Linked DNA regions of Coturnix japonica. The protein of the gene in region 1 interacts with the protein of each later gene in a biochemical or structural test. Links are inferred from orthologs where the notes say so. Each region holds a gene or a part of one and is shown in the gene's direction. Other genes may lie near its edges.

Region 1 (3,500 bases):
TCTTGAATACTCTGTGGCACCACAGGAATGTAAGTAACCTATTTCTTGAGCCTTCCAGCTGCTCATTGCCCTGGTGAAGAGATGTGCACGGAGGGACTCCTGTCGAGGCTTTGCAGACAGCTGGTCCAGAAGGACATTCAGCTAACAGAGTTTTTTCTGCACTTTTGTATTTTGCAACCTGGAGCCTTTTGTTAGAAGGTTATCGCTTGGCTAAATACAGATGAATTTGAATGGCAGTGCAGAAAAGCTTGTTCTTAACTAGGGCTTGTCTTGTCCACCATGTTTACACCTTAGACAAAAGGTGTTAGATTTGAGTTACAAAATGGCCGTGGGAATATTTATATCAACAAATCGAGCCCATTCATGAACACCAAACTGGGCTTTCCACATTCATCGTGAATGTTTTCCCCGATGCAGATACTGAACTTCAACCAAAAGCCTCTCTTTATAAAGGCTCGTCTTAGTGACGTATTGGCAAAAGGCACAAACTGACTGTGGTGCGTCCCATCCCTGTGGTGTGACAACGTGCATCTTTTCTGATTGTACTTAGAGTGTAGCTGTTAGTACCGATACGTTTCTGCAAGAGATTGTAATAAAGCAGGCATCTCTTAAAGAGAAGCATTCTCGCCGTGGTCAGGCTTCTTACCCAAGGATGTGGGATTTTTTCCTCACTTGTCTCAAGTTCAGCCTTTTTTTTTTTTTTTTTTTTAATATCCTGACTTTTTCTCTCCCTGAACTGGGAGGTAAGGGAAACAGAGGGAGGTTTGTGAAACAAATTGGGAAGCACAGTAGTTATGAAGAACAGATCTAGAAATCTGAAATGTACCGTTTTAGCAGTAGAAAAATACGTGATTGTGTTTCTCGGCTTTATTTTCCTTCCCAGAAGATCAGCATTTTCTCATTGAGAAATAGGTCAGTTTTGAGCAGCACGGAGTAATACAAGAGCAACTGGTGTGCCAATGGTATCAGAATAAATGAATGTGTCTTTATGGAGGGATTGCTGTACAACCTCCACAACTCGCCCCTACCCAGCGAGGGAACCTGGCCACCTTCCCCAGGGCAGGCAGGCAAGCAGGCACACAGCTTTTTCACATCAGTGAAACACATCTTTGCAGTTTGGATTCGCTGAGGAAATCTGATGAGCATGTTTCTCCCCATCAGTTCATAGAGCTCATGCAACTTGTTTCACCCTGTGACCTCTAAGTACGTATCCATCATTCCATTTTTCTTTCTCATTAGAGTGAAATTGGACACAGCCCTCCTCCTGCCTACACCCCTATGTCAGGAGTAAGTATTTCACATTCAACCTTCATTCTTTAGGTTTTCCTCCTTCCTTCACTGCTTGTTTTCTGTTTTCCCTCCCTTATTCCTATAATGTCTCAAAACCCAACACTGAATGCAGTTTGTGTATGTATAACTCGGGGATCTCTAAGCTCAGCTTGGATTCATCTCTGAGCTCAAGGGATCCACATGCAAAATCACTGCCGATATTTCTTTGAAAAGTATTTAGGAAACAGGCTTGGATGAATCTGTCCATTTTTCCTTCCCATTTATAGGTCACGATGTCGAAATTTCCTTGCACGCCCTTGCTGAGAAGCAGAATGGTAGGTTGAGTTGAACTGTTGAGGTGTTGGCGAGAGCCTTGCTCACAGCCTGGTGGAGCTGCACAGTGTCTGGGTGGCTTTGTGGTCAGTGCTACCAGACACCCTGTGAGCAGCCCCCCTGGGAGCAAACCAAGTTGACCTAGCATAAGGTTTAAGGGTTTTGTTCAGAAATCACGGGAGGTTTTCTATTAAGAAAAAGAGAAACTGGGTTTGCTTGCCTTTTGCCACTGTGAATCTCCAACTTCCACATCTGCGTAGGAGACAAGTTCTGTACCCCATTTCTAGCCTCATTGCCATCCAGTCTCCCTGCAGCCCTCCCTGCCCTGATGCTCCTCCCAGGGAAGGGACCTGCTCAGCAGCACCGGGCAGGCAGATGCTTTGCTAGACCCTCAGCACTGGAAATGTGGCAGCCTGCAGGATGGATGAGGATTCTCCTGCCCTGTGAAATGCATCATTCAGCAGCTGTGGCGGGAGAGCCAAGGGCATGCCTTGTAGTACAATGTTGCTTCCCTTTAGAGAGCGTTCTTTCTAAGCTGCCTTCTCTTTCTCAACAGAACCAGTTTGTGTACAGAGATGGCGGCTATGCTGCAGAGCAGGGAGTGCCGATGCCATACAGAGCTCCTGGCTGCATCATCCCAGAAGCCCCAGTTGCTCAAGGGGCAACGGCAGAGATCTTTGAAGACACCTGCTGCAACGGCACACTGCGGAAGCAGGTGGCCACGCTGGCAAAGGAGGACAGCAGCACCCAGAGGTACAGCGCTGATCCCACGGTCTTCATACCAGAGCGGGTGATTCGGGGAGAGCTGGATGAGGATGGCTATATGACGCCAATGCGAGACAAACCCAAAACAGGTAACAGTTGGTCCTTCCAGGGAAGTTCCCAGTCACTGCCTTCTCTATTTGTCTACATCGGCAGCTTTACACCTGAAAGGGTTTTATCTGCTAACCCAGCAGGACTGAAATATTCTGACTTGATTAACATTTCTTTGCTGGGGGGGATTCTCTTTTCTTTGCTTAACATTCTACTTAAGAAAGCTGACTGTACTATAATGTCAGGTTTGGTATTTCCCCTTTCATTTTTTGATGCTGGAAGGGAAAAGAGAGAGGAATGAAAAAGACAAAGCAAAAATAAGAAACCAACAAACCCCCCTCATTATCCAAGAACAAATATTTATACTTTTTCCAGTAATCTTTCTTTGTCCAGCCATGGTCTCCACTTGGCTTTGTTTATTGATCTGCTTTATCGTCACAGCATCGTGGTTGGTAAAATGTCAGGTTGAACATACCACAGAACCGATGCACATAGTTGGCATTTTACGCCCAAGAGAAGTTTGGGACGGAAAGAATGCCGTGTGCTTTGGAGGAACCATCACCGTGAGGTGGAGTGTGCCTGTGTTACTGCCAGCTCAGTGCCATGCTTCCCACTTGGCCTTCGTTCTCTCCTTTCTTTTTAAATAGCAGCAGCACTGTTTTGCTGTGAGGGGATGTGTCATTAGTCATTTGCTTTCAAACATTTGCATTGGCTTTAAAGAAATTAATCAAATCAGATGTAAATGCCAAATAACTACTGAGTTTGCTACAGGATTTGGAAGACTGTTAATACGTAGTGGAAACAGAGGGGGTTGTGGGACAAGTGCACTTGTAAGCTAAGGCAGACAGTGTCCCTGCTTATCTTCCCTTCCCATCCTCCTATCTCACTTCCTGTGTACCTTCAAACCTTTCTGCAACTGAACCACATCTTTTTGTGGTGTTAGCCCGCAGCAAATGTTTTGAAGACACCACAACCTGTGCCAACTGTTCTGGAGCTAATGTTAAGACTCTACTGTACCCTTTCCAGGACTCACTTGAATTATTTTTCATAATGCTTCAAGGCCCTTTGCCCTTCAAGGATGGAAG
Region 2 (3,939 bases), on another chromosome or scaffold:
ATTCCTTAGGATCAGCTTTGAAAATAAACCCAAATAAGCCACTTTTTGGAGATTAAACTGACTCCTGGAAACCACTGCAGGGGAAGAGCACTTGTTTATTAAAAAGAGACAGCAGGGATCAGGGCATGAAAGGAGGCTTTGTCTCCTCGGCTATTACCTTACTCCATTTGACGGTATTTTAATGCTTTTTTCTTCAGGTGTGCAGGGAACCTCAGGCACAAATGTCCCACCTTGGAAAGCACCGGGCATAGAGGGCTTTGCGCATCAGGGCAGCCCGTGCCACCTGCAGCAGCCCCCAAATGAGCGCATCTTTGTTGACACTGGTCCGGGTGGCTGCGAATGTCCGGGGGCTCGGGAGGGGGTTCGCTCCGTGTCTGATCGGGAAGCGTCCCCGGGGACCACCCGACCCTGCAGGAGCACGGGAAGGCCACAGAGCAGGGGTCCCCTCTGCAGGCGGAGGGCATCCCCGGGGGACTCTCCGGCATCTCCCCACTCGAGGGCAGGGAATCGAGGTGGGGTCCCGCTGTCCGGCGCCCCCGACACGCGGTGCTGACCGGCGAGCGGGCAGCGGCCGTGAGAGCATCCCGGGGGGGCTGCGGACTGCGGGAGCAGCTGGGGCGGGGGAACCGCAAAGGGCATCCCCATCCCAGGGAGGGAGGGCGAGGGGGAAGGCGTCAGCACATCCAGAGGGAGAAGGGGGCGAAGGCCGGCAGCGGGAGCACGCCGTGGGGGTGGGTTCCGGCTGCGGGAGCGTTGGGGAGGGCTGGAAGGGGCCTCCCGCGCTGAGGATCCGCCGCACGCGGGGCGGAAGGGGGGATTCGGAGCATCCCGGTGGAAGCCGCATCCCGAGGGGCGGGGGGGGCTCCGTGAGCATCCCGGGAAGGGGGGGGGGGGAGAAGGGGGGTTACCTCTGCAGCATCCGCGCGCGGGCTCCCACCTCCCTGGCTCGGAGCGGAGCCGGCCACCTCCCCCTCATCCTCCCGGCCGGCGGCTGCGGGCGCTCGGTGGGGTCGCGGCGGCGGCTGCGGCTCCGCTCCGGCCTGGGGGCGCCGTGCCGGGAGGAGGGTCGCGCCGCGCCGCGCCGCTCCGCCCCGCCGCGCCCGCCCGCCCGCCGCGCCGCAGCCCCGCAGCCCGGCCGCCGCCGCCGCAGGGCCGGCGGGAGCGAGCGGCAGCCGGCGGCATGAGGCGCGACCCGGCGCCCGGCTTCTCCATGCTGCTCTTCGGCGTCTCGCTCGCCTGCTACTCGCCCAGCCTCAAGTCGGTGCAGGATCAGGCGTACACGGCGGCCGTGGTGCTGGAGGGCAAGGTGCAGTCCGTGGCCCCCCCCGCAGGCGGCGGCAATGACAGCCGCGGCGGCTCCGGCCCCGCCGGGGGGGTCCTGGTGAAGGTGCTCGACCTGTGGCCCCTGAACAGCGGCGGGCTGCAGCGGGAGCAGCTCATCAGCGTGGGCTCCAAGGCGCCCTGCTTCAAAGTGAAGCGCAACCACCGCTACATCTTCTTCCTGGAGCCCACCGAGGAGCCGCTCGTCTTCCGCACCGCCTTCGCCCCGCTCGACACCAGCGGCAAGAACCTCAAGCGGGACGTGGCGCGGATCCTCTGCGCGGACTGCGGTACGGGGGGGCGGCGGGGCCGGGGCCGGGCGGTGGGACGGGCCCCGCCCGGGCTGGGAGCCGCGCTGCCGTCGCCGGGCCCGGCCCCGGGATGCGGAGGCGGCTCCGCTGCGCTGCTCGGGCCGGTTCGCTCCGCGTTACCGTGCGGAGCCGGGCCGAGCCCCGAGCCGGGCCTGCGGCGGTGCCGCCTTCGCAGGTGAACTGGGAAGTTTGGCCTCCTTCGGAAGGAGAGTCTCGTTTTGCGAAGTCGTTTTTCTTTTGTTCGTTCGGCGCGTTTCCATTTGCGTCTTTAACGCACCTGCTCCGTGCTTTGTGGTGCCGTGCAGCGCTCCTCCATCACCTCCCCGAGTGCCGTTATGAAATGATTTCGACAGAGGAGCCTGCGAGCGTTCCTCCTTTTGTGCCTGGCTTTCCCTGCCGTCCTCCGGCGCTGCGATGTGTTGTGGGGGTACCGGCCGCAGACAATGACTGCATTTTCCCAGGGTTGGGATCTGAGCTTACAGAAACGCGGGGCCGGCCCTTCGTTCGGCTCCGGTGCTCGGATCCTTTGTCACAGAGCCGGGCAGGGCTGTTACCTGCAGCTCCCGAGGCACGCCGTGCCGCCTGCTGCAAACCCCGGTCTCTGGCGCTTGGTGGCTTGCAGGGCTGCGAGGGCCTGTCCCCGGGTTCTGTGCTCAATGACAGAACGCTGTGCTTGCTCATCAGGTTAATTGGCCCTTTGCCTCCTTAGAGGCGATGTGCCACACCAGTTATGCTTAGCTACATAATGAACATATGCGCATGGTGTTGTTGTTGTTGTGTTCTCACATCGGTGTTCCCGGGGCAGTACTTGGCTATTGCTGACTGCAGACCCCGTGTTTTGAAGGCTGGACCTGGCTCTTTTTTGGTTACCACAAAGAAGGTGCATCCTGGCCTACCATAATATGTTGCTGAGAATAATGGGCTGGCACTGCATATCAGAAAGCTAATTCAGGAGGCACCGACCTCATCTGTGGGCCACGGTGGATACTGAGGATTTGGTGAAATAAGGAGTTAAATGCAAGAGGAGAGGAATGTATTGAGATTCTGATTTCTTTGTGAGGTGAAAGCACAGCAGAAGGGCTATGGTGCTTTTTTGTTGTTTTTTTTTCAGGAGGAAGGGTTGCAAACTTGTGCATCTCTGAGCAGTGGGATGTGACTTTAAGAGGAATGGAGGCTGCTCCGTTGCTTTCTGGATCAGGCCCAAAGCGCTAACGTGTGGGCTGATGTAACAACAAGTGAGGGGATGTCGTTCTGCCCGTGACACCCTCCCGGAGCTGATGCTTTGTTTTTGTGTTTCCGACGGGCTGAGGGATGCGGCGGGTTGTCAGCAGTGCTGCCTCAGTGGAGCTGTATGGCAGATGCAAAAGGAAAATAAATAAAAAAGCTGGTGGTTGGGAACTGTCAGAGCTGTGGTTTGTTAAGTGATGGGGATGAGATGGAAGCCTCAGCACACTGAACTTGTGGTTCCTGCAGCATGAAGGTTCAGCCGGGGCACCGGGAGGCAGGTTCTGAAGGTGACATTCCTGGCAGGATCTTCTGATTTGTGGGATCTAAGTTGATGGAAGGTGCACGGACTGAGAAACCAGGCCACGGTCTGCTTTCTTGCTCCTTGGGTTCCAGTGGGGCAGGGATCCAAAGAGGCACGGGGCTGTTTCCCATCCTCTCTGCAGGTGGGGATGGTGGACAGCTCCAGGGCTGGCAGACGGAGCCCTGTCCCGGCACAGGGACCTCAGAGGGACTCTGGGCTTTGGGAGCACCGTGGAGCAGAGGGTGTGCTGGGCCATGTGGCTCTGACCACGAACCCCCACTTTGAAGGATGGAGGCCTTGCAGGGCTGTCATCTCCCCTTCCTGGCTCCGTGCCTGGCTCTGTTTTCAGTGATTCATTCCCTTCTCATGGACTGGGATGCTGTGTGTCCTCTGCTTTCCTGCCTGCTGATGCTCCGCGTGTGCCGCAGGGTCAGGCCTGCAGTCAGAGCATCGTGGCTCTCTCCCAGGGCCAGGCTCTTGCCTGCACAGCACATTGTGGGAGCAGGTGAAGCCCTGTAGGACAATAAGGAAGTCTGAAGGAGAGGGGAGCACTGCACGGGGTGCAGGAGGTGGAGAGGGAGCATCTGTGCCAAGTTTTGGGAGGCACTTGGGGGGGTCTTGGCTGGATGGTGTCGTACTGCCCACACTGTGCTGAGATCTGGGGAGGGAAACTCTCCCTCCTGGGCCCAGTGCTGGGCACTCTGGAGGGTGAAGCTTCCCTGCCGGCAAAATGCAGAGGTCTGCAGCCTCTGCCCCTCTGCAGAGCCATGGATGAAGGAA
Region 3 (4,272 bases), on another chromosome or scaffold:
CTGGAAGAGCTGCTCTGCCTGAAAGGTTGCTGCTTCTGTCAAACAAGTTGAGTGCACCAGAATTCGTGTCTTACATTGCGCACTTACTGTGAGGGGAATAGGAACAGGATGTTTGCTGTGGATGCAGATGTCAAAGTGACGGCCTACACGCTAGAATAACTACCCAGCAACATCAGTGTGAAGGAAATGATGCTTATCCCGAAGTTAGAAAGAAGCCTGGTTTCATTCTGCCTGAGTGCACATACCAGGCCTTTACAAACCCACCTGCTGTGCAGGGATGCTGGTGCCCTGCCCTGAGCTCACCTACAGACCTGCTGGCCATCACAGCTCAGAGAGGCTACAGACTCAGTGCCTGCATTTCCATGCTGTGCTTGTAACTCAGATTCATTTCCTCCTAATCCTTCCTTGTTCCAGAGGTACCACTTAGACATCTGTCCTATTTTAACGACCAGGCTAACAACTATTTCACTTGTTAAACTATTGCTGCCGATCCTCACCGAGCAGTAAATTAATACATAGCCTGCCATTTCCAAAGACCATTTCAGACCCACCTGAAAAGCTTATTCACTGCAGTTATTTGCTCTGCAATTCTTTGTGTGTTAATAAATGCACTATTTCACACACCAGTGTAATAAAGATCATTTGGAGCACACAAGAGAGAAAAAACAAACTGCAAAAGGAAGATCAAACAGGAAAATGGTGCCCTGGGGGTTCAGAGGTAAAGGCAGCTCAACCTTTAGCTGCTGGGTAACATGCAGCAGGATCCAAGAGCTTTGTTTTGGAGGAGAAAGGATTTCCCTTGGTTGTCAGGAGAACCTTTGGAAGCCAACACTATGTAGGTGTGCTAATGTATTCTGTCTGGCTGTGATTTCCACATGCATTAGAGGTGGTGGAGAAGGGAAAAGCTCATGATACAGCTCACAAAGGGGGAAGTAACTCTTTGCACAGCCTACATCCTTTCTGTAGTGACTTCTCACACCCACAGCCTTACACAAAACACATACACTTCTAACAAGCCCGACTGCTCATTTCTTACCTTCAGTCTGAGCCGTGCCCTCATCACACGAAGCAGCTGCCTTCCCCTCAGAGCTGCTGCCTGTAGAAATGCTGCTCTTGGCTGGTGAGCTGCAGCAGCTTCCCCCCCTTTACAAGAGGCCAAAGCACTTGCTGCCCTTCCCCTGTTGCCTTTCATACCCTTCTGCAGGCCCACCAGGTGTGGGACTGCCACAGTGATTGCTTCTTCTTTAACCCTTCCTCCTCTGCATTAGAAAGAACCTGTTGTGCTGGCAGCCCTATGGACTGCTGGGGCTCCTGAGGGCAGATCTGGTTTGTGACAGGTAGTTTGGTGCTGCCCTGTCAGAGGGCTGACCTGAACCTTCCTATGTGTGCAGCTATGCAGCTCAGCCTGGGCATGCTGTGTTGCCTCTGCTTTCTGTTTCTCTCTGCAACGTTCAACAGCGTTTTCTCTTTCAGTGCTCATACATCTGCTAGGCTTAGTATTTTCACTTGTATCACTTCCACGTAGTTCATGTGAATGGCCCCGCTGCTCTGGATGTGGAGTGGGAGAATGAATCAATGGGGCGGTCCCCTTAATGCAGGATCTGTTTGGCAATTGGCACAAAGGAATTTCTCCAAGGAAACGGTTTGTTTTCCTCCTGCTGCTCACGTCAAAATCGCTTCACTCGCATTCCATCCCTCCTCCCCATCCCTGGTTTGTTCAGAGCTCTTTGGGAAGCTCCACCCTTCCTAACCAAACACTGCAGCCCCTTGCTCCTCCTCCGCCCCATAGGCTGCCTTGCTTTCCCATTGACCTCCACGTGCGGACCCAGCACTTCTTGCTGCAGTTATTTGGCCTCCTGCTGGCTGTGCAGCACGGCATGATTGTGGGCACGGTCCTGTTCCAGCCCAGCAGCTATGGCAGAGACAACAAGCTGCTCTGCTGCCTTGGCAATGATGGCTCTGAGCCTGCTGGGTCGAGCTTCACAGGTAGGGAGACTACAGCTCTATTCCTGTACTGCCCTGTTGGTCTAAAGGAGGGTGTGGGTCCTCTCAGCTCTTTGTCTTGTGTGGGAGCAGGACTGAGATTGCCAGCTTTTATTCAGGATTAGCAAAATGCTGTTGGTACAATCGAGCATCAGCACCTGGTGCGGTTCTGCTGTTGAAGGTGAGGTGTGTGCTGGGCTCTCGTGCTGCTCTTGAACTGAAGAGATCCATTATTGGAGCCTCAGTGGCACGAGGGGGGGGAGGCAGAAAGTCCTGACGTGGTGGCTGAATAGGAAAGCGTTCATGTCCGGAGGGAAGCAAAGTGTGCTGTGGGAATAGAGAGGAAGGAGGTGGCTGAAGCATAACCTCACTTGTAGACTAAACGATGATGTAAGTTTTCAATTGTATAGGAAATGAAAGCAATAACGTGATTTGTGGTTATGCTTTGGGTTGATGTCAGAGAGAACTTCCCAGTTCACTTCCTCGCCCTTGGTGTGACCGGAGCTCACAGCTTGTTCAGTGTGAGGTGTTTCCTTTGTGGTGTGATTTGTCTCAGCTTCCTTACTGAGCTCTGTGATTACCGTATTGAACTCTGCTTTCTTATCCTTGTACGTAGGATGGCATGGGTCCCACTCGTATTGAGCACCGTAGGTTATTAGGGACTGGATGCTCAGATTTGGGAACCACTGGTCTTTTCTGTTGCCACTTGAGCTGTTCCTGATGCATAATAGCTGCACGTGCATGTGCACAAACCCAGCCCTAGAAAGCAGCAGCCATTATTACTCTTTATGTGACAGGCTGGGATGTTGGTAACTGCAGGTGATAGTTAAGAACATGAAGCATAGAAATACTGCATCTGCAGAGAATGAAGCCATGCTTTGGTGGCTGTGTCTCCGTCACTTCTCTTGCTGAAGGAACCTCGATAGGCTGCCACTTTGGCATGGCTGGGAAAGCAGTTATTTGAGCAGTGGGATTACCAGAAATGAAGGCAAAAGCCACTTAGCTGTGTGTTTGAGAGCAAACAAACCAACCTCAGTCATTTCCTTTCCCATGTACGTATAACAAAGCTTAAAAAAAAATGGAACATGGGTTCTGGGAAACCCCCTACACTGAAGCTTTCCAGGCTCCAGCTCCATCACGTGGCACAGATTCAGCACGTGTTTGCCTGTTATTTGGCATAGGCCTCTTCCTGTTCTGTCTCTCTGACTTCCCAGCTCTCCCGCCTGTGTTGCTCTCAAGCCCTTTGTTCTCCCCATGTGCTACACAGACTGGCTCTCGCTCAGTGTGGGAGCCTGGTGGGGTTGGTGTGTGTGTGTGTGTGTTGTCCTGCAGCAGTTTGCAACAATCCATCCTGCATGTGACTCCTCAGACCCTCAGCAACAGGCCACGTCTGTTTTGGGTTGGTTTCATGAGCAGATTCAATGAGAGGCACTGGGAGCACGTGGTGGGACAGGAACATCCCTCAGCTGTGCTTTCAGAAGCATTACTTCCCTCCTTAACTTAATCCTCAATCCCTGCCAGTTTACCACTTCTTTAGTTTTGTAGTCTTGAAACGTGTCACAAATCACCTCCATTCCTACTAATGCTGACTCGGTGACTATTATCATAATTCAATCTGTTTTACCTCTATTCCTAACACTGCTTTCAAATCCAAAATTTGCCATCTGGCCTTCAGCCACGGAAACAAAGGTTGAAAACGTAACGTGGCAGACTTTAAAAGCTTTTCTTCACTACTTCACATCAAAAGAGCATCTTTTATTTCTCCTACACGTTGTGCAGTGGGAGCCCTGCTGTGCCATGTGCCGGGTTTTAGCTGTAACTTCCTCTTCTTTTCTTCCTTCAGAGGCCCTGCACCGTCCCTATGGTTGCGATGTTGAACCCCAGGCGCTGAACGAAGCCATCAGGTGGAGCTCCAAGGAGAACCTGCTGGGAGCCACTGAGAGCGACCCCAACCTCTTTGTTGCACTTTATGATTTTGTAGCAAGCGGTGACAACACGCTCAGCATCACCAAAGGTGGGTGAGCCCCTGAGTTGCAGAGTGGCCATGGGCTGTATGCTGAGATATTGATTGCTGAATGCTTCTGTTGTTCCACTGGAAAGAGTGAGTGCAGTGAGCAATTATTCTGTAAGCAGGGAATAAAGCCTGTGGTCTCTCTTGTGTTGGAGAGACGCCTGCTGGGCAGTTCTGGTACTGATACACTGTGGAGTAATTGGCCAAGGATGTAGCCCAGGTACATCCGGACTCACCAGCTCCCTGACTGTGAGACACCTCTGTGAGGCAGAGGAGAA
Region 4 (4,275 bases), on another chromosome or scaffold:
AATAACAATGTCTTGCCAACCTTGAAGGTTTTGTTCAGTTAGCAGGAATTAATTGATATTTTCCTACTGATATTTTCCTAAATCCCCAACCAAAGAAATCAATACTGATTTTAAAGGTGGTTAGAAGTATGCACGCTCTACCACCACACTATGTCTATGTTCACAAGTGAAAACAACTGATTATAAGGCAGCACGAAAAATAATCTCTTCTTAAAGATGATAATTTCAAAATAAGTTTGATCTTAAATTATAACTCATTCTCTGCAGCAATGATCCAGTTAAAACAAATTCCAGGAGACTTGTTTTTAAGAAGACTTGCTCTATAGATGTTTACAAAGTACTTTGAAATGCAGTCATAAAGAAAATGCTGTGAAAATGAAATATTCGTACACCTCTAAATCAGCAGCTGCACAAAACCTTAAGGCAGGCAGAAGTGTTAAGCCGTTATTAAAGATTTAAAGTAGCTTAGCAGCTAATCGAAATTGATGACATCTGATGACTACTCAACAGTCACTGTATGATATTTGCTTGGGGCTGTGTCTAGCCCAGAACAGGTAATTGTTCACACCATCAGAATTGCTTCCATGGTCACCATGGTCCCTTCAGTACCAGGACTGCCTTTTTGTTGTCGACACAGTGAAGTCCAAAATGAATGTGGATAAAATCTCAAGAAACTCAACAAAGATAAATGGTCCAAGATCTGCCTCTGGAAGGGAGCAGCCCCAATTCAACAGGACACACTGGGGGCAAGTGCTTGGAACACAGTTTGGTGGAGGAGGTGCTGGGGTCGCTTCTGCCACTGAATTAAATTCATCTGCATTTGCTACCTCAGTCTGGTGTTAAGTCATTATTCGGTGTTGGTGTAGCAGCTCATATAAAGGCTGTGATTTGTAACAGGGAAAATTCTGAAAGAGTTTGAATGGGATGATTTCACAACATTCATCTTGTCCTGGAAGCAGAAAATCATCAGTGGTGTGTGCACCCGGAATGCATTCTTTATGGATGTTACAGGTAACACTGGTGGAACTTGACTTGAAGCATCAAAAGCTGGAAAATAGAAAAAGAGATTAGGGTTGTTGATGCTGAAAAAACATTTTTAGCCCCAGTGCAAGTTACAAATGGAGGAAAAATATTGATAACAGAGAATTTACATGGTGTATCTGAAAAGTGATACTGAATGTCATTAATCCACATCTGCCTTAGCAGATGTGATGCAAACAGGGCGCTGGGTGCTGTCCTGCTGGGGAAAGCAGCCAGAGCTGCGTGCTGGCCTGGGCTTCACCTGCAGAGATGCTGCCTTAGTTGTGCTGTGTGAGCTGCCCTGTGTCCGTCGCTGTGTGTGACCCGCCGATCACTTCGGCCGCGCACCCGACAACCCACCCCGCCGGGCGACACCGCGGGGCGCACTGAGCATGCGCGGAGCATGGCGCGGCGCACGCTGGGAGTTGTAGTCACCTCCACCCCGTGGCGGCTCCGGCGACTCCGCGCGTGCGCAGATTGCGCCCGACTTTGGAAAGTCGCTGCCTCGGGTTGGGTCGGAGCGGCTGCCATCTTGGCCGAGGGACGGAGGAGCTGAACGGCGCCGTGCGCGGTGAGGGGAGCGGGCTCTGCAGCACGGGCAGGGCAGGAGGGAGGAGGAGGACGAGGACGAGGAGGAGGACGAGGAGGCGGGGGGTGGCGGCGGGGATGGGAGCTCCAGGGGCAGCGCTGCGGCTCCGCCGATCTCCTCGGCTCTGGGCGGGGGGCGCGGGGACCCCGCGGTTGTAGGCCCGGCCGCCTGAGGGGCTCCGGCCCCACGGAGCTTCACCGAGCGGCCTCGGCGCGCCGCGCTGTCCCCTCCCCGCCGGGCCGAGCCGGGGGCCCGGCCGCAGCCGGCGGTATCGCTCCGTGCCTGCGGCGGCGGTCCCGGGACCTCTGGCCTGTGTGTGGGGCTGCACGGCTCCTGCACGAGCCCACATCCCCCGGCCCCGCTGTTCCCCGGCAGCGCGTGTCGCCGCCCCGCTCGGCCTCCGCCATCCTGCCCGGGCTCCCGGGAGCCGGGACCGGTCACTTGGCCCTTTCGGCGCTCCGGGATCGCTCCCGGCCCAGGCGCTGCTTCTCAGCGGCAGTTCCGCAACACGGCCCCTTCCCTTTGTATTCAGCCCCGTCCTGTCTGTCTCTCGGGGTCTCGGCCGGGGGAGGCTGCTGTGTGGAGTTCTTTGCTTTGTTCCTGTGGGATAACAGCTGTGCCATGAAGCAGCGTTTCCCAGCACGAGTGTGGTTGGAGGTGTGTGTTCCCTCTTGCTGTTGCCGCCGCTTTATTTTGGAAACACGGCCGAGTTCTGGCTGTTAACTCTCCTGCTTCCTCACAGGGGTCTGTGACCTTGTGTGGCAATAACAACCAAGCACGAGTGGAAGGTGCCGTCTGAGGGTGTGAACGCCTTTATTAGATTGGCTCTGAAATCCAGGAGTTCAGCTTGTTGCGATAGGTGTAATCTGTGATGTTAAACTGATAAACAAGCTTAGCATCTATGTATGTGGGGAGAGAAAACCGAGTGTAGCAGTTGGGCCATCTGTTGTCATTTGCGTGGCATTCTTTACCCTTGAAGCTTCGGAAGATGTTCCCAGAGAAGTTAATCTTTATAGCTCAGGTAGGATAGAAAGGATCACAAACAGTTCTCTTTGTGAAACATTCTTTTTCTCAGTGTTCCTCATTGCTCTTTGTTTTAATCTCTGCCCCTTTACCCTCATCCTTTTGGCAGAGGAAGGAGGAGAAATGTGAACTGGGATTCCTGAGAAGACAATTAGTATCGAGAGCCAGTTGGCTGGCAGTTGGTCCAGCTACTGCTTGAATTGACCCGAACAAGTTATGCATAAAGAAGAATGAAACATCGGCTGCAATCTGTCATTAGCTCAGTGGGTTTTATTGCCTTTCAGACATCTTGTTTGAAGAACAAATTTTAATTCTTTCTTCTTCTAGTGAAAGTCCAAAGCAGTTCTAATTTAATTACAGTTATATTACTCTTTGCTACAGCCATTTGAATCCGAACTTGGTCTACTGTGCGTTCTTAGTTGTGGTTTGACTGACAGCTTTAATCACTGCTCTGGATACGTTCACCTCCAAGTGATCATCAGAGCAATATGCGGCATTCTAACCTGGAGTGAGTTTTCTTGTATTAAAACAAAGAACTGATGCCGTATGTGTAAGAGGTGACGTTGCAGTGGAAAATAACTGAGACTTCTGAGTGCTAACTTTGAAAGCTTCTTACAGATTAAACAGTTATTTTGGGTCTTAAGAGAGATCGAGAGATTATTCGTATGAATTTATAAGTTAACAGACATCGCCTCGTTTTCTTCACTCTATTTTTGTTCCTGTTGTAAAGTTAAGGGTGTTTTATGTGTGTGTGTGATGAGCCATTTCCTGAAATACAGAGTTGTTTGGTTTCTTTGGTTGGACGTTTCAAAACAGCTTGTGAGAGTGAACTGCAGAGCTGAGCAGCAGGTGGGAGGGCAGGTATTAGAGCAGCGAGGTGCTTCTCTTGGAGGCTTTGTTTCTCATTGTTTCTAAGAAAACTTGCATTAGGGCTGCTTGAAAACAGTGTTAAGTGAGGCTGAAAAAATGTTTGCATCTGCAGGAGTTAGATAATTTAATGGCATTATCGGTATCAGTCAGTGACAGAGTCTACAGAAACATCTGTAAATGCGAGAGATATATAAACAAAGTAGTAAACATACTCAACCCTGTTAAAATGCTTTCTGTATTGCAGCAAAAGCAATACAGTTTGTCCTAAAAAATAAAGGAAAAGATGTCAGTGGGGTTAAAGCAGGAGGGGAGCGCAATGCTGGAGCTTCTGGGTGCGCTGTCACTGATGCTGCTCGTTGTTAAGCCTTTCTGTTTGGCAGTCCAGTTGTGTTCATTTAATGTTCTAATTTCTGTCATTCTGTGTGTAAGTGGAGGAACTCCTTTGAGCCCTCACAGCTAAGGAGCGTGAATGTGCAGGTATGTCTTGGAGCAGAGCACTTGCCTGGGTCGATTTCAGTAACTGTTCTTTGTTGTGCTGTAGGTGAGCTTTGAAGTGAGGGCTCACCTCAGAAGAGGAAGCAGACAAGCCGGGATTACAGTCTTGCTTGGGAGGATTGTTTGGCTTATTTTACTTTTTACTGCCTCCCAAATTAAGTATTTTTAATGATTTTAGGCCATCAGCTTGTTTGTGTTTTTGTGCTGTGGAATGGCTGTCACCAGAGCTAATTCTATGCCTGCCTTCTGGAGAGGGAATGGTAGTTTCTCTTCATGCC
Region 5 (4,134 bases), on another chromosome or scaffold:
GGGCTGGGAGTGCAGTGCCAGCCTGTCTGGTGAGACAAGGGGCTGCTGGGTGCTGCTTAGGGGTTGCAGGACCCGAATCTATGGGGCTGAGCACGTCTTGCTTTGCCTTTGGTGCTCTGTGACCCCTGGGTAAGGGGCTGTGATTATTGGGGTGGGCTCTGGAGCTGTGGCAGTTGAATCTGGTTGTGCTGACGTGCCTCATTCCCAGCCAGTGCTGTTGGGGGGGGGATGTGTGTGAGCTGTCTGGCTTCAGCTTTCAATGCAGGAGGTTGTGATAAAATCAAGAGTGATTCTGTTTTGTAGAAACAGAGCTCTGTGAGAAACGGGCACAGCTCGGGGCACTGTGTGTGCCGGGAATTGCTGCTCCCTGCTTCCCATCTGGGCTGGGGTCCAAAAGACCCCTTGCCCCTTTATCTTAGGTAACAGACAGCCCCTGTTTGCAGATGCCTGCAAGCCTTTATGCAGGGGATGCTGTGCCAGGTGGGACCCCCAGCCCCATATGTACAAGCCAATTAGGTCCTATGGGGGCAAACACGCTGCCTTGAGCCTCCCCAACGCCGCCCAGCAGAGCAGGGCTGGCGGGTCTCTGCTTCCTGGCTCCCCGGCCCCGGGTTTCCTGCCTTTCTTCAGATCCATCTTACTGCTGGCCATGGGAAGGTCATGGCACTGAGCTGCCGTGGGGCCCTCGGGGGGTAACAGAGCACATCGTGGGACTGTTCCTGCAGCACCAAGGTGGGGGTTGATGGGGCTGTGGGACCCGTTGGCATCGGAGCCCCCACATCGTGTGGGATCCCAGCTATTTCCAGCCTATTCCCTGCCTCCATTTCCCTGTCTCTGTGGCTTCATGCCAACGTTTGGGAAGCGGGGCAGGAGGTTCCACTGTTGGGGCTGAGCTGGATGAGCCCTTCCCTTGGGCTGGATTTGCCTTGAGTTCAGCTCGGTGTAGGGTTCTATGGGGGTGCCCTGGCCTGCAGGTGGGTCAGAGGGGCCCAGAGACCCCCTTTGTTGGGGGGGAGGGGGGTAGGAGAAGCATGGAACAGCTTGGGTTAGAAGGGGCCTTAAAGCTTATTCCAAAGGGCTGAAGGGGGATCTCTGAGGTCCCCATTGCTGGTTTGCATCAGGTGGGAAGGAACGAGGAGGGGGCAGACTTGCCCCATTGCCCCCCATTAGAAAACTGGGGTTTCTCCTAGCTTTGGAAATGGGTGAGATTTACCCTGGCGCCATCAACACGCTCTGGCTTTTCCCCAGCTCCCTCTAGCTCCGCCCGTGACCTTGATTTTTCTGCTCCAGATCCTCGCCGGGTCCCCACCCCTCCCTCTGAGCCCCTCCTGCGTTGCTTCCCCATCCCCTCACAGCACAGCAGATCCTTCTCCTCCGCCTGTGAGTCAGCACAGCCCTTCCGATCAGCGGCAGCCCCTTCTTCCCCTCCGGGAGGAGCCGGGATGCGGGAAGCAACAACCATCATCGGCTCCCGGCGGCTCCACAGCTGAGCCCGGCTTCTCCCTCTTTACACCCACCTGTATCCTCCTTTTGGCCGCTCTCCTCCTCCTGTACCATCCTGGAGCTGTGCTGGACATCCCTGCATCCCTCTGGCATCGCGTTCCCCCTTTGGCTTCAGGCGTCGCTCCCCACCCCATCGATCCCGGAGAGCCAACAGCATCTTCTCGCTGTCGGCACGTGGCTCGCGTAGCACCGGCTGCTACAGAAGGACCTTGTTCGCTTCTGGACCGTGCTCTGAGCAAGGCTGGGCAGGGCTCGGCCGTGCTCTGTGGCTGCCTTGTCTCAGGGCTTTAAATATTCATGCTTTTCATTTCCTCTGAGCTGCTGGCAACCGCTTGCGAGGAGGAGAGAGCAGGGGCTGGAGAGCAAGCCGGAGGGGCAGCGGTTTGGGACTCGTTTATGGGGCAAAAGGGGCCATGCTGAGCCCCTGCTGAAGACAATGGGATTCGTCGTGGGTGCAGAGAGGGGCAGTGGGGCTTGAGGACCTCCCAGCTGTGTGCTGGGTGTGCTGAGACCCCCCCATCACCGGGTGCACCGGGAGCGGGGCTTGCTGCCCATCTATCCGGATCGCTGACGCTGGTTGCTATCGATCTGCTGGGACTGCGTGGAGCTGGTTCTCCTCGTGAGCCATGAGGGGCTGGAGGGTGCCTGGCATGGAGTTCAACCTTAACCTGTACATGGGGGAGGACTCCAGGAGGCTGTAGGCGCTCTATGGGGTTGCTGTGAGGGGTGGGCATGCTCCAGCCCTTCTCTCCTCTTTCCACAATGGATCTCCTGCAGAAGAGCAAATACAGCCACCTGCGGAACGAGTCTGTCTCCTCCCTGGAGGAGGCTGTGGGAGCCTTGGGGACCCCAGTGTCCCCTGTGGAATCCCTTGAAGGCATTCGGTCACTGCCTGGCTCGCTGTCATCCTCCTCCCTCAGCCCCATGCTGCCTCTCGGGGAGCTCTCATCCGAATCTGAGGACAGCCCCACCACCCTCTGCTCTTTCTTCCCTAAAATGGCCAACCTGAAGCTCTCCAACCCCGCCAACCTGCTCAGCCTACGGGGCTCATCGACCGGCAGCCTTAAAGATACTGGGAGCTCAGGGCAACCCGTCCTAACCGGGACGCTCACACCGACACCAGGGGGAACAGCCAGCACTAACTCAGTAGGACCTGTCACTGTCTGTTCCCAGGATATGAACAAGCTGAGCTGTGCGAAGAGGACGCGGGTGGAAGGCGGCCAGCTGGGTGGTGATGAATGGACCCGCCACGGCAGCTTTGTCAATAAGCCCACGCGGGGCTGGCTGCACCCAGATGATAAAGTCATGGGGCCTGGGGTCTCCTACCATGTCAGGGTGAGTGCTGGGGTGTCTCTATGGGGTGGGAGTGGGCTTTGGGGGGGGGCTCGTTGTGGGTGGAGGTGAACAGCACAGTGTGGGGACCTGTCCCCTCTTTGCTTATGGGCTGCCATGGGGAGGTGGGGGAGTCAAAGCGAGCCAAGCCCGATGCTGACCCTGCTCTCCTCCATAGTACATGGGCTGCGTAGAAGTCCTTCAGTCCATGAGGGCTTTGGATTTCAACACAAGGACTCAGGTCACCAGGTGAGCCCTGGGGTTGTGTTGGGGGCTTGGGGCTGCCCAGGGTGGGTGTGGAAGTGGAACCAGGCTGTCTGCAGCCATGGAGGAAACTGCCAGGAGATCGATGAGCCTGTCAATGAGCTCGGTCAGGCAGGAAGCACTCCTGCAGCTGCATCAAATATTAACAGCTCGCTCTTCCCCTGTCCCTGCCGGGTCTGGGAATCAGCCTGCACTGCCTGAGGGCTTCCCTTTTGTTCCATGCTTAACCCTGTCCCTTCTGCACTGCTCCTCGTGTCCTCTGCCCAGCGGTGCCCCATAAATATGGCATTGATAGCAGAGCTTTGTCCCTGTGCTGATGCAGGAGGGGACAACAGGGACCCCCAGGCTGACGCTTTGCTTTGCTCCATGCAGGGAGGCCATTGGCCTGGTGTGTGAGGCTGTACCTGGTGCCAAGGGAGCAGTGAGGAGGAGGAAGGTGAGGCTGGACTTGGGAAGCTGCTGATGGGAGCAATTTGAGGGCTGGATCTCAACCCAGCCAGCAGTGCTTAGGGGCTCTGATTGCCCCCATGGCTCAGCATGGAGTGGTGGTGGTGATGAGTTGCCTAATGCTGCTGTTCTCCCCCAGCCCTGTGGCCGCTCTCTGAACTCCATCCTGGGCAAGAGCAACCTGAAGTTCGCCGGCATGCCCATCACCCTGACCATCTCCACCAGCAGCCTCAACCTCATGGCCTCTGACTGTAAGCAGGTGAGAGAGGGAAGCTGCTGTGGGCTGCACTGCTGCCTTCAAACAAGCAGAGATCCATGCATCCCCTTCAGGCCCTGCTGGGGGTGTTCCCATTCTCCCTGGGGATGTGTGGTTTATCTGTGTTTCCTGCTGAGTGCTCATCTCCTGGTCCAGCATGTTCCACCCCATCCATTCCTGGTAGCAAAGGGATCTGAGCAATGCCCTGAATGCCTTGTGGGATCTGTGCTCTGGACCTTGAGACCCAAGTCCCTCAGCCTTGGATGTCTTTTAGTCTCAGTAGCTCTGCTGGTGTCTCAGCCCTTCCTCTGGTTGCCTATGGCTCATAACCA
Region 6 (3,963 bases), on another chromosome or scaffold:
GAAGCAATCATAAATATTTACACTGCAGCTCTATGTTTAGGAATATCATTTTAACAACAAGACTGTGCTGAAATCCTTTTATTTAAAAACCCGTAGGAGAAAGCAAACAGCATTAAACAGAAGCCCACGGAGCCAGTGGGCTGCAAGACAACGTGGAATTACATATCCGATTGAAATATGGCAACGTGGAAACCAAGCCCGTAAGAGATGGCTGTTGAGACTGTAATTTCTTTACCAGCACAGCAGGGCATGAACGCGCTGCCATTCTGTGAGCCCAGGGACGCAGACAGCGTCTGCTCTGACACCGGGCACGAGCCCAGCAGAGTCCCACGGGTACTCGCAGCGCTGCAGGACCTGGAATGGGATCCTGCCTTCAGAAGGCAAGATAGGAAGGTTCGTTTCGGCAGATAAAAGGAGGTTTGTCTGCAGGGCGGTGGAAGCGCGAGTAGGAGTTTGTTTTAGTGGCCTGGGGAGAAATTCACTTAATTCTTTTGGTAACACAAGGCTTTGAAAACCTGAATGTTTAGATGCCTCCTGAGAACTTTGGAGAGGCGTGCAAGTGTCAACGTGCTGCTATTTGTCAGCTCTTTTATTATGGGGGGGGAGGGAAAAAAAGAAGAAGAAGAAAAAAAGAAGATAATGAGAGAAGTATCAGCACGGTAACGGAGTAACCGGCAATGGAGTACGGGCGGCAGTGCGGTCACACAGCGGCTGCAGGCGATGCGCTGTTCTCCTCCCGCAGCACACGGCGGTGCAGCTATAACGGGGACACACAAAGCACGGGCTCAGCACGCCCCGATCGCGCCGTCCCTTCCCGCCGTGCCCCCGCGCCACCTGCCGCCTCTCCTGGCTTTTACTCCCCATACTTTCTTCTATTTTCCCTCCCAAAGGCAGCTCAGCCTCAGGGCGCACCATGGCCGCCCCTTGGCCGCACACCATGGCGGCTCGGGCCGCTCCTACCCCGCACTTTCCTCCCCCACGCGGTGCGGCCGCTCCCCCTCCTGCCCCGCCCAGCTCCACGCACGCGCTCATAGGGACGAGGCTGGGGAGCGGCGCACATGCGCGGCCCGTCCCACCGCCTCCGTCCTTCCCCCCTCCCGGCTGGCGGGCGCACGGGGGCGGGCACAGCGCGGGGCGGCCGAGCCGCTCCCCTGGCGGCCGGCGGGGCCGAGGCAGCCGCGCCGGGGCCCTGCGGAGCCGCCGTGAGCGCGCAGCCCCCGCCCAGCCGGGTATTGTTCGCGGCCCGTCTCCGCCGGGACAGTTTTGCCCTCGTCCCGGCTCCGCTCCCCGCCGGGGCGGGGTGGGCCGGGGCCCCTTTGTCGCCACCTCCCCGGCGTGCGGCGGCGGCGGCGGCTGCGGGCGGGAGGGCGAGCGGCGGACGGGAGGGGGGGCGAGGCTCAACATGATGGCGGCCGAGGCCGGAGCTGAGGACGGCGGTTCGGTTACCTCGGCCGGGACGGCGGCCGCCGCCGAGCCGGGGCACTGCCGAGGCAAAGCACCGGGGCCGCAGGGCCCCTTCGCGCCCGGCTCCAGCTCCGGCTCCGGCGGGGACAGCCCGGGCGCCGGCCCGGCTCTGTGCTCGGCGCTCGGGCTGCTGGCGCTCGGCTCCACGGGAGCCCCGCCACCGCCCAGCGAGCCGGGCTCCGCCGCCTTCCCCCCGCTGCCGCCGCCGCCGCCGCCCCTACCCCCGGCCGGAGGGCTGGCGGCCGTGGACGAGGGCGACTCGCTGGACGGGCCGGAGTACGAGGAGGAGGAGGTGGCCATCCCGCTGAACGCGCCCCCCACCAACCAGTAAGTACCGCGGCCCCCCACCCCCCTCGGTTCCGCTCCCGGAGCGCAGGAAGAGCGCGGCTCCGCGCAGCGCCGCGTGTCCGTGCGGCGGGGGGAGGCCCGGGCGGCTCCCGGACAGACTGGGACTGCGGCGCTAACTTTGTAACAGGCGGAGACCTCCCCGCTGTACAAAGCGCTGCTCTCCTCGTGTCATCCCTTTGCATTCCGTTGTTTATACCTTAAAAAAAAGCAACAAGAACAGCACAAAGAACACCCCAGCCTTTTTGTTATTTCATACAGGAATATCACGAAGGTTGCACGCACGTGTTTGCCTTCGTGGAGTAGGGAGGGTGAGGTTTGCTCACTCTGGAACGCGGGTTGGAAATGAGTAGAATTCTTCTTCTACTTTAAAATAGTGGGCGGGCTGTGCTTACAGAATAGCGCCTGACTTTGCTGCTCAGCCAGTTTAAAGCGAGGCTGATGTTGGTTTGTCTGTATGGAGGCAGGAGGCAGAGGTGAAAATCCTGCAAACCTCCTGTTGGATTTCATTCTGTTATCTCTGTTTTAAGGTGAATGGATGTCCTGTGGTGCTGGTAACAGAATTTCGCACTCTGAGCAGAGCAGTTCTCAATTTATATTGTGTGAAAAATGTAGGATCAGATAATGCTGTGTGTAGTTTGTGTAATTAATGAGCACTCCATGCACAACCTTTGGGCTGAAGCATAGGAAGTCTGCAGGTTTGTGTGTAGCACCTCAAGCCCCGTTTCAGTACAGAAAACAGTTCTCTGGGAGGGTGCCTGGCTATTTAAAAAATGGAGTTGCTTCAGAAGCTCTATTGGTTGCACCAAGTAGTGTCTAGAAATGTGTTGTTCCTGAAGTTTCCTGAGGATAGTAGATAATGTAAGGTTTCAAGGTACTGAAACAGTTGGGCTAGATGTTCATAGCGGGCTTTTCCAACCTTAAGGAGTCTGATTGTGTGAAACCATGAGGGTTGGTAGATAGTTTCAAGGCGTGGATCAGAAGGACGACCTGAAAGCCCATCTGAGTTTGGGTTCTTTGTTACATTCTTTCCCAGTACCACTCTTAAGAGACTTCTGCACCATTCGTGTATTTCCATGATTTCAGGAATCATTAAAGTCATCAGGAGGACATAAAAATGTACCGATATGAATCCCTTTTAAATTCATGTCTCTCGCTTTGACAGTCTTCCCTGTAATCTCCTGATTTCTTGACTTTCTGTAGAAGTTTGCTAACTTAAGGCAGTGTTTGAACAGTGTTTGACTGGCGTCACTAATGAGCTGGAAATATGATCAGGCAGTTCTGACAAAGGATCAGGAGGGAAATAGAGGCACACGAATGTGAAATTACTTCTTCAGGGTTGTCAAATCACTGGAGCACACAATTCTGTACTTCTGGTTTTCTCTCTGAAAATAGATCAGACTGCTTTTTCCATTAGATCCAGTTATGTTAGTCAGAGAGAGAGAGTCCTTTTTGGAAGTATCTTTAGGAAATGGGGTGACAGATTGTAAATGACCACCTGTTCGGTCCTAAATATGCAATATGGACATATGCTAATAGGAGTGGGATTTGCTGTCAGAGCATTGTCCTGTGACTGAAGTGCTGGAGTGATGTCTGTCTTTAAGTGCTTTGACAAGTGTGTGCTGAGGGGAAGGCTGTGCAGGCCCTAATTTGCTCTGGTTAACAGTACCTTATTCAGACAAAAGGGAGACAGGAGTCTTTGCAGAACCAGGGCATAACTGTGAGCTGAGCTTTCTTCATAAAAGAGAATCCTTCACAACAAATCAAGTATTGTGGAAAATGTACACGTACCTCCCTACTCTGTGTTCTTAACAGCTTTTCCTTTGCCACATAACCCTCGGAGTGTGACTTTTCAATAAAAAATTGATTGAATAGAACCGTGTTTCTCTCTCATTCAGCTCCTTTATGGTGTCAGTTTTCATCGTTCTTATTTAAGTCATTCAGATTGGCCATATGCTGATAGTAAATCGCATCCTCTCAGTCCTGCTGTTTTATTTTGGAAGGGCCCTTTCTTTGTAGATGTACCATCTGCTTCTATGGAATTAAACTCCTGATTTATTATCAAAACAAAGATCAATATTATCTATAATCTTATACAGGGAAAGGTTTGCTATAATTCTTTAGGAATAATGATTGAATTTATAGTTAAGATTA
Region 7 (3,500 bases), on another chromosome or scaffold:
GGACATGCTCAGAGTGTTTGTCTCTCTAGTCTCCTAATGAAATGAAAAAACATACATAGTTGTGCATGTGCTGTGAGTAGGGATAAGCTTAAAAGTGTGTTTACCTATTGCAGCTCGTGTTTCTTATTACACAGACAGAATTCACTCACTCAGGTTTCATCATACCTGTGGTCATGTTATGCCACATCCTGTCATGTCAGACATCTCCTCTTCAGCTAATCTAGGCTTCTCCAAAGCCTATGAAGAAGGAAAGGCTTCTCCACAAGATACATTACCCATTCTGAGATTTGTGTCAAGGATGTGGTCAACCCATAGGCATAGACGACCCTTCACTGCTGAGCTGATGTCAGTGTATTGACCAGCCTTTTATCAACACTGGGTGCAAAGTCCTTTTCAACCCAGGCTAGTTGAAAGAGTATCAGACTACTTTCAAAACATGACCCCTTTTCCTGCTTGTAGACAAGGTATAAATTTATCCTGGTCTGAGAGGTTATACATCATGCTTCGAGGAGCCAGGAGAAAGGAATGTGTTATTCTGAGGAATCAGTACTTCATGCTTGCATTTTGTTGGCACTTAGAGGTCTTAATCTAGATGAGGATCTAGTGAGATATGACCCAGTGGGTGGGTGCAGTGGTTAAAAGCAGGGGGAGCCTGAGTTTTGCAAGAGCTCTTTTTGGAACCCTGTCAGCCTGTTAAACACCCCATACGAACAGGTCATTATAGAAAACATTAAAAGAGACTGGCATACTGGTGATGGATGGCAGAGTAGAGAAAAAGCATGAGAGGCAATGTCTGTACAGACAGACAGGATTTTGATGGAACGATAGGGAGGAATTCAAATATATCAGAAACTCATATCCCATTGAAACAAGATAGCTAAACCATTCAAGAAATGGTGCCAGCCACACTGGCCTGCACTCCCAAGTGCTGAGTTCTAAAAATGCAGTTTCCTTGAAGATAATGGGAAATGCATGAAAAACAAATGTGACAGGGACTACTTCATCCTTATTCTCAGAAATAACTCAACATGTGTAAGTGGTGTTTGCTAATAGCTTATCTACTAAAAGCATGTTTTCTTTGGATTCTGTGTGTGAGGCAAATGGTAGAAAGTCATGCATCATGTAGTATAAACATGCCCCTTGGGTGTTTTTGTGTAGCAATGCTTTGACTATCACACAGCTTTTGTTGTAGGCATTTGCAGCTTTCTAGTCAACTCCAGTGGAATCAGTCAGTAGACGAAACTGACATTTCACCTCAGGGCAGAAGCAGTATTTCATAAATAAATGTACTGGGATTTGCTTAACATTGTGAGAAAAATTCTTAATTTCTTAAGTCTAGACCCAGATAAACAAAGACCATATAGAAATCACCTCCACCTTTAATTGCTGGCAGACAGAGACATCAGTTAGTTTTAGCCATTTAAAAATTAGGGAAAATTCTCAAGGCTAAAGCTTTGCAGTCATTGTGGAGAGACAGACACAATAATAGGGGGTGTTCATCCCACCTGCTGGGAGGATGAGGTGAAGATCTTTCTGTGGGCCATGGAGATAGCCTTACCACTAAATGATGAATCAAGTGAAGTCAGTCAAACCTGAATGATTTGCCACAGATCACATAACCCTTCAGTGGTGTGGCTTCTGATCTGGGAAATGACCAGCATCCATGCTAGAAGTATTCCTACCCCTTTTTGGCAGTATTTAGAGTAAAACATAGGCTGGGCATGGGATACCTCCCTGAGGTGTGCATTTGAACCCTAATTTGTGTTAATCAGCAAAAGATGGTATCAAATACTTTTGGAGACAGTAGATAAGAGAGTTCACTGACATGTCATATCCTCCCTGGACTTTCTTCTTCCCTCACATACAAATACACTTACCAGACAGTAGGAAAGTTTAAGGTGTTTTGATCTGTATTTTCTCTCTCTTCTTTTCCAGCCACTTCCACATCTACAACTGGGACAAGTCATCTCACAAAATGTGACATAAAGCAGAAAGCCTTCTGTGTAAATGGGGGAGAGTGTTACATGGTTAAAGACCTCCCAAATCCTCCACGATACCTATGCAGGTAAGAAATCCTGTTTGCATATTTTGGTGGAGCCATCAGGTTCTATAAATGCTTTTTCTTTAATGGTGCACCTGAAAAATTTCTTCTCTTAGACTTGCAGCATGAGGTATTTATTCATTCTAAGCATCTGGATGTGAGGCATGTGAAAGGCTAACCAAGTAATCTTCCCATGGGTTAAAGGGCACAGAAAGCCTTACTGATGGCATGAACTAGCACAATTTAAGCTGTATGTTAGATATAAAGAAAAGATGCTGTAAACTAAATACACTACAAAGTCAAAAAATGTGTATTGATAACTGCATTGGATAAGTGCTGTTTCTACAGGAAAAAGGTGGTCTGTGTTTACTGTGTGCTTTAATAGCTGAACATTTTCTGACGAGAATGTATTCTCAATTGGAGTTTTCACGTTGTGTTAAGTGCATAAAAAGAAAAGAGCACTATGGCAGTTTGCAGAGGTTACTACTTCATGTGAGGATTTTGATCAAGGAGTTAGGAACATAAGCTGTATGCGCTTGTTCATTTCTTCTCAAGGCCTGGCCTGCACTGTGCAGGCTGATGCTGTGATCCATTTATTTGGAAAGATTCTAGTGAGAAATACAGCGCTGGAGTACACTTCCTGCCTGGTAGCACATCATGTAGTATTTACTTCTGGAGACAAATCAGTCTTAGCAAGTTTCTTCTCTCTGAACTCAGAGAGAAATCAGCATTTAATACCTTAGAGTCTATCAGGACTGACTGGAAAGTGGGCACTTTTGTGAAGATATTGCAGCTTTTCAGACAGACAGGAGACAGCTTTCAGTGGAATCTGTTGTCTGCTGTAACTGCATTGAACTTCAGACATCTATGACTAAAAATCAAATGTCAGTACTTGGAAAGAAGGTTCTGATGGCTGACTTAGCAGAAGGTCTGTGATGCTTTCATTAGGTGAGAAAGGCATAGGTTGCATGGCACTGTTGTTAATTCAAAAAATATTAATAATCCACGATGTTTGCTTCACATGTAAGTTTTGTTTTATAGATTGATGTTTTCTGGACTTTATGAGCTTTGTTTTGTTTTGGGTTTCACAGATTGCACCATTGCTGAAAGTGATGAATATTTCATTGATTTTAGAATTGTTTTTAGCTAAAGTGAATGTGGAACAGTTACTGGCTCTGGCGGGCTGAATAGCAGAGAGAAAAAAAAAGTTGTGTTGATGTACTCTTGATCATGTTACATCAACAGAACAAGATGAGCAGTATGATGTGGCTATTCTGGGTGTGTACCAGATCCTATGTGCTTATTTCTACTTTCTGTCTTAACACTACTCATGAAAATCCAGGGCAGCAGAGCTCAGAAGCTACCAGATTTGCTGCTGATTAGCATTATCTTGACAGTTTCAGAGCTATACAGTTTTCAGTTGTTTGAGAAAGTTTTTTGGTTTGTTGATTTTCCTCCT

The links.
Region 2: the proteins of ERBB4 (region 1) and NRG2 form a complex in vitro, tested with the Homo sapiens proteins (2 studies listed by BioGRID). The link is inferred for Coturnix japonica from reciprocal best matches to the Homo sapiens genes ERBB4 and NRG2.
Region 3: the proteins of ERBB4 (region 1) and ABL2 form a complex in vitro, tested with the Homo sapiens proteins (2 studies listed by BioGRID and IntAct, with this or other methods). The link is inferred for Coturnix japonica from reciprocal best matches to the Homo sapiens genes ERBB4 and ABL2.
Region 4: the proteins of ERBB4 (region 1) and ITCH form a complex in vitro, tested with the Homo sapiens proteins (2 studies listed by BioGRID, with this or other methods). The link is inferred for Coturnix japonica from reciprocal best matches to the Homo sapiens genes ERBB4 and ITCH.
Region 5: the proteins of ERBB4 (region 1) and SHC1 form a complex in vitro, tested with the Homo sapiens proteins (2 studies listed by BioGRID and IntAct, with this or other methods). The link is inferred for Coturnix japonica from reciprocal best matches to the Homo sapiens genes ERBB4 and SHC1.
Region 6: the proteins of ERBB4 (region 1) and RASA1 form a complex in vitro, tested with the Homo sapiens proteins (2 studies listed by BioGRID and IntAct, with this or other methods). The link is inferred for Coturnix japonica from reciprocal best matches to the Homo sapiens genes ERBB4 and RASA1.
Region 7: the proteins of ERBB4 (region 1) and NRG1 form a complex in vitro, tested with the Homo sapiens proteins (2 studies listed by BioGRID and IntAct, with this or other methods). The link is inferred for Coturnix japonica from reciprocal best matches to the Homo sapiens genes ERBB4 and NRG1.

Annotation. Positions count from the first base shown.
Region 1 is NC_029522.1:7,035,430-7,038,929, reverse strand, and holds part of ERBB4 (receptor tyrosine-protein kinase erbB-4), read left to right. Parts: intron 1-1,239; coding exon 1,240-1,287; intron 1,288-1,556; coding exon 1,557-1,604; intron 1,605-2,158; coding exon 2,159-2,456; intron 2,457-3,500. UniProt on the Homo sapiens protein: Tyrosine-protein kinase that plays an essential role as cell surface receptor for neuregulins and EGF family members and regulates development of the heart, the central nervous system and the mammary gland, gene transcription, cell proliferation, differentiation, migration and apoptosis.
Region 2 is NC_029528.1:15,467,754-15,471,692, reverse strand, and holds the start of NRG2 (pro-neuregulin-2, membrane-bound isoform), read left to right. Parts: upstream 1-1,139; 5' UTR 1,140-1,180; coding exon 1,181-1,610; intron 1,611-3,939. UniProt on the Homo sapiens protein: Direct ligand for ERBB3 and ERBB4 tyrosine kinase receptors. Concomitantly recruits ERBB1 and ERBB2 coreceptors, resulting in ligand-stimulated tyrosine phosphorylation and activation of the ERBB receptors.
Region 3 is NC_029523.1:5,537,685-5,541,956, reverse strand, and holds the start of ABL2 (tyrosine-protein kinase ABL2), read left to right. Parts: upstream 1-1,472; 5' UTR 1,473-1,592; coding exon 1,593-1,986; intron 1,987-3,826; coding exon 3,827-3,997; intron 3,998-4,272. UniProt on the Homo sapiens protein: Non-receptor tyrosine-protein kinase that plays an ABL1-overlapping role in key processes linked to cell growth and survival such as cytoskeleton remodeling in response to extracellular stimuli, cell motility and adhesion and receptor endocytosis.
Region 4 is NC_029535.1:1,379,526-1,383,800, reverse strand, and holds the start of ITCH (E3 ubiquitin-protein ligase Itchy homolog), read left to right. Parts: upstream 1-1,475; 5' UTR 1,476-1,591; intron 1,592-4,275. UniProt on the Homo sapiens protein: Acts as an Acts as an E3 ubiquitin-protein ligase which accepts ubiquitin from an E2 ubiquitin-conjugating enzyme in the form of a thioester and then directly transfers the ubiquitin to targeted substrates.
Region 5 is NC_029540.1:1,434,224-1,438,357, forward strand, and holds the start of SHC1 (SHC-transforming protein 1), read left to right. Parts: upstream 1-1,334; 5' UTR 1,335-2,235; coding exon 2,236-2,838; intron 2,839-3,013; coding exon 3,014-3,084; intron 3,085-3,471; coding exon 3,472-3,535; intron 3,536-3,685; coding exon 3,686-3,805; intron 3,806-4,134. UniProt on the Homo sapiens protein: Signaling adapter that couples activated growth factor receptors to signaling pathways. Participates in a signaling cascade initiated by activated KIT and KITLG/SCF.
Region 6 is NC_029547.1:54,365,730-54,369,692, reverse strand, and holds the start of RASA1 (ras GTPase-activating protein 1), read left to right. Parts: upstream 1-1,163; 5' UTR 1,164-1,402; coding exon 1,403-1,791; intron 1,792-3,963. UniProt on the Homo sapiens protein: Inhibitory regulator of the Ras-cyclic AMP pathway. Stimulates the GTPase of normal but not oncogenic Ras p21; this stimulation may be further increased in the presence of NCK1.
Region 7 is NC_029547.1:47,881,143-47,884,642, reverse strand, and holds part of NRG1 (pro-neuregulin-1, membrane-bound isoform), read left to right. Parts: intron 1-1,935; coding exon 1,936-2,065; intron 2,066-3,500. UniProt on the Homo sapiens protein: Direct ligand for ERBB3 and ERBB4 tyrosine kinase receptors. Concomitantly recruits ERBB1 and ERBB2 coreceptors, resulting in ligand-stimulated tyrosine phosphorylation and activation of the ERBB receptors.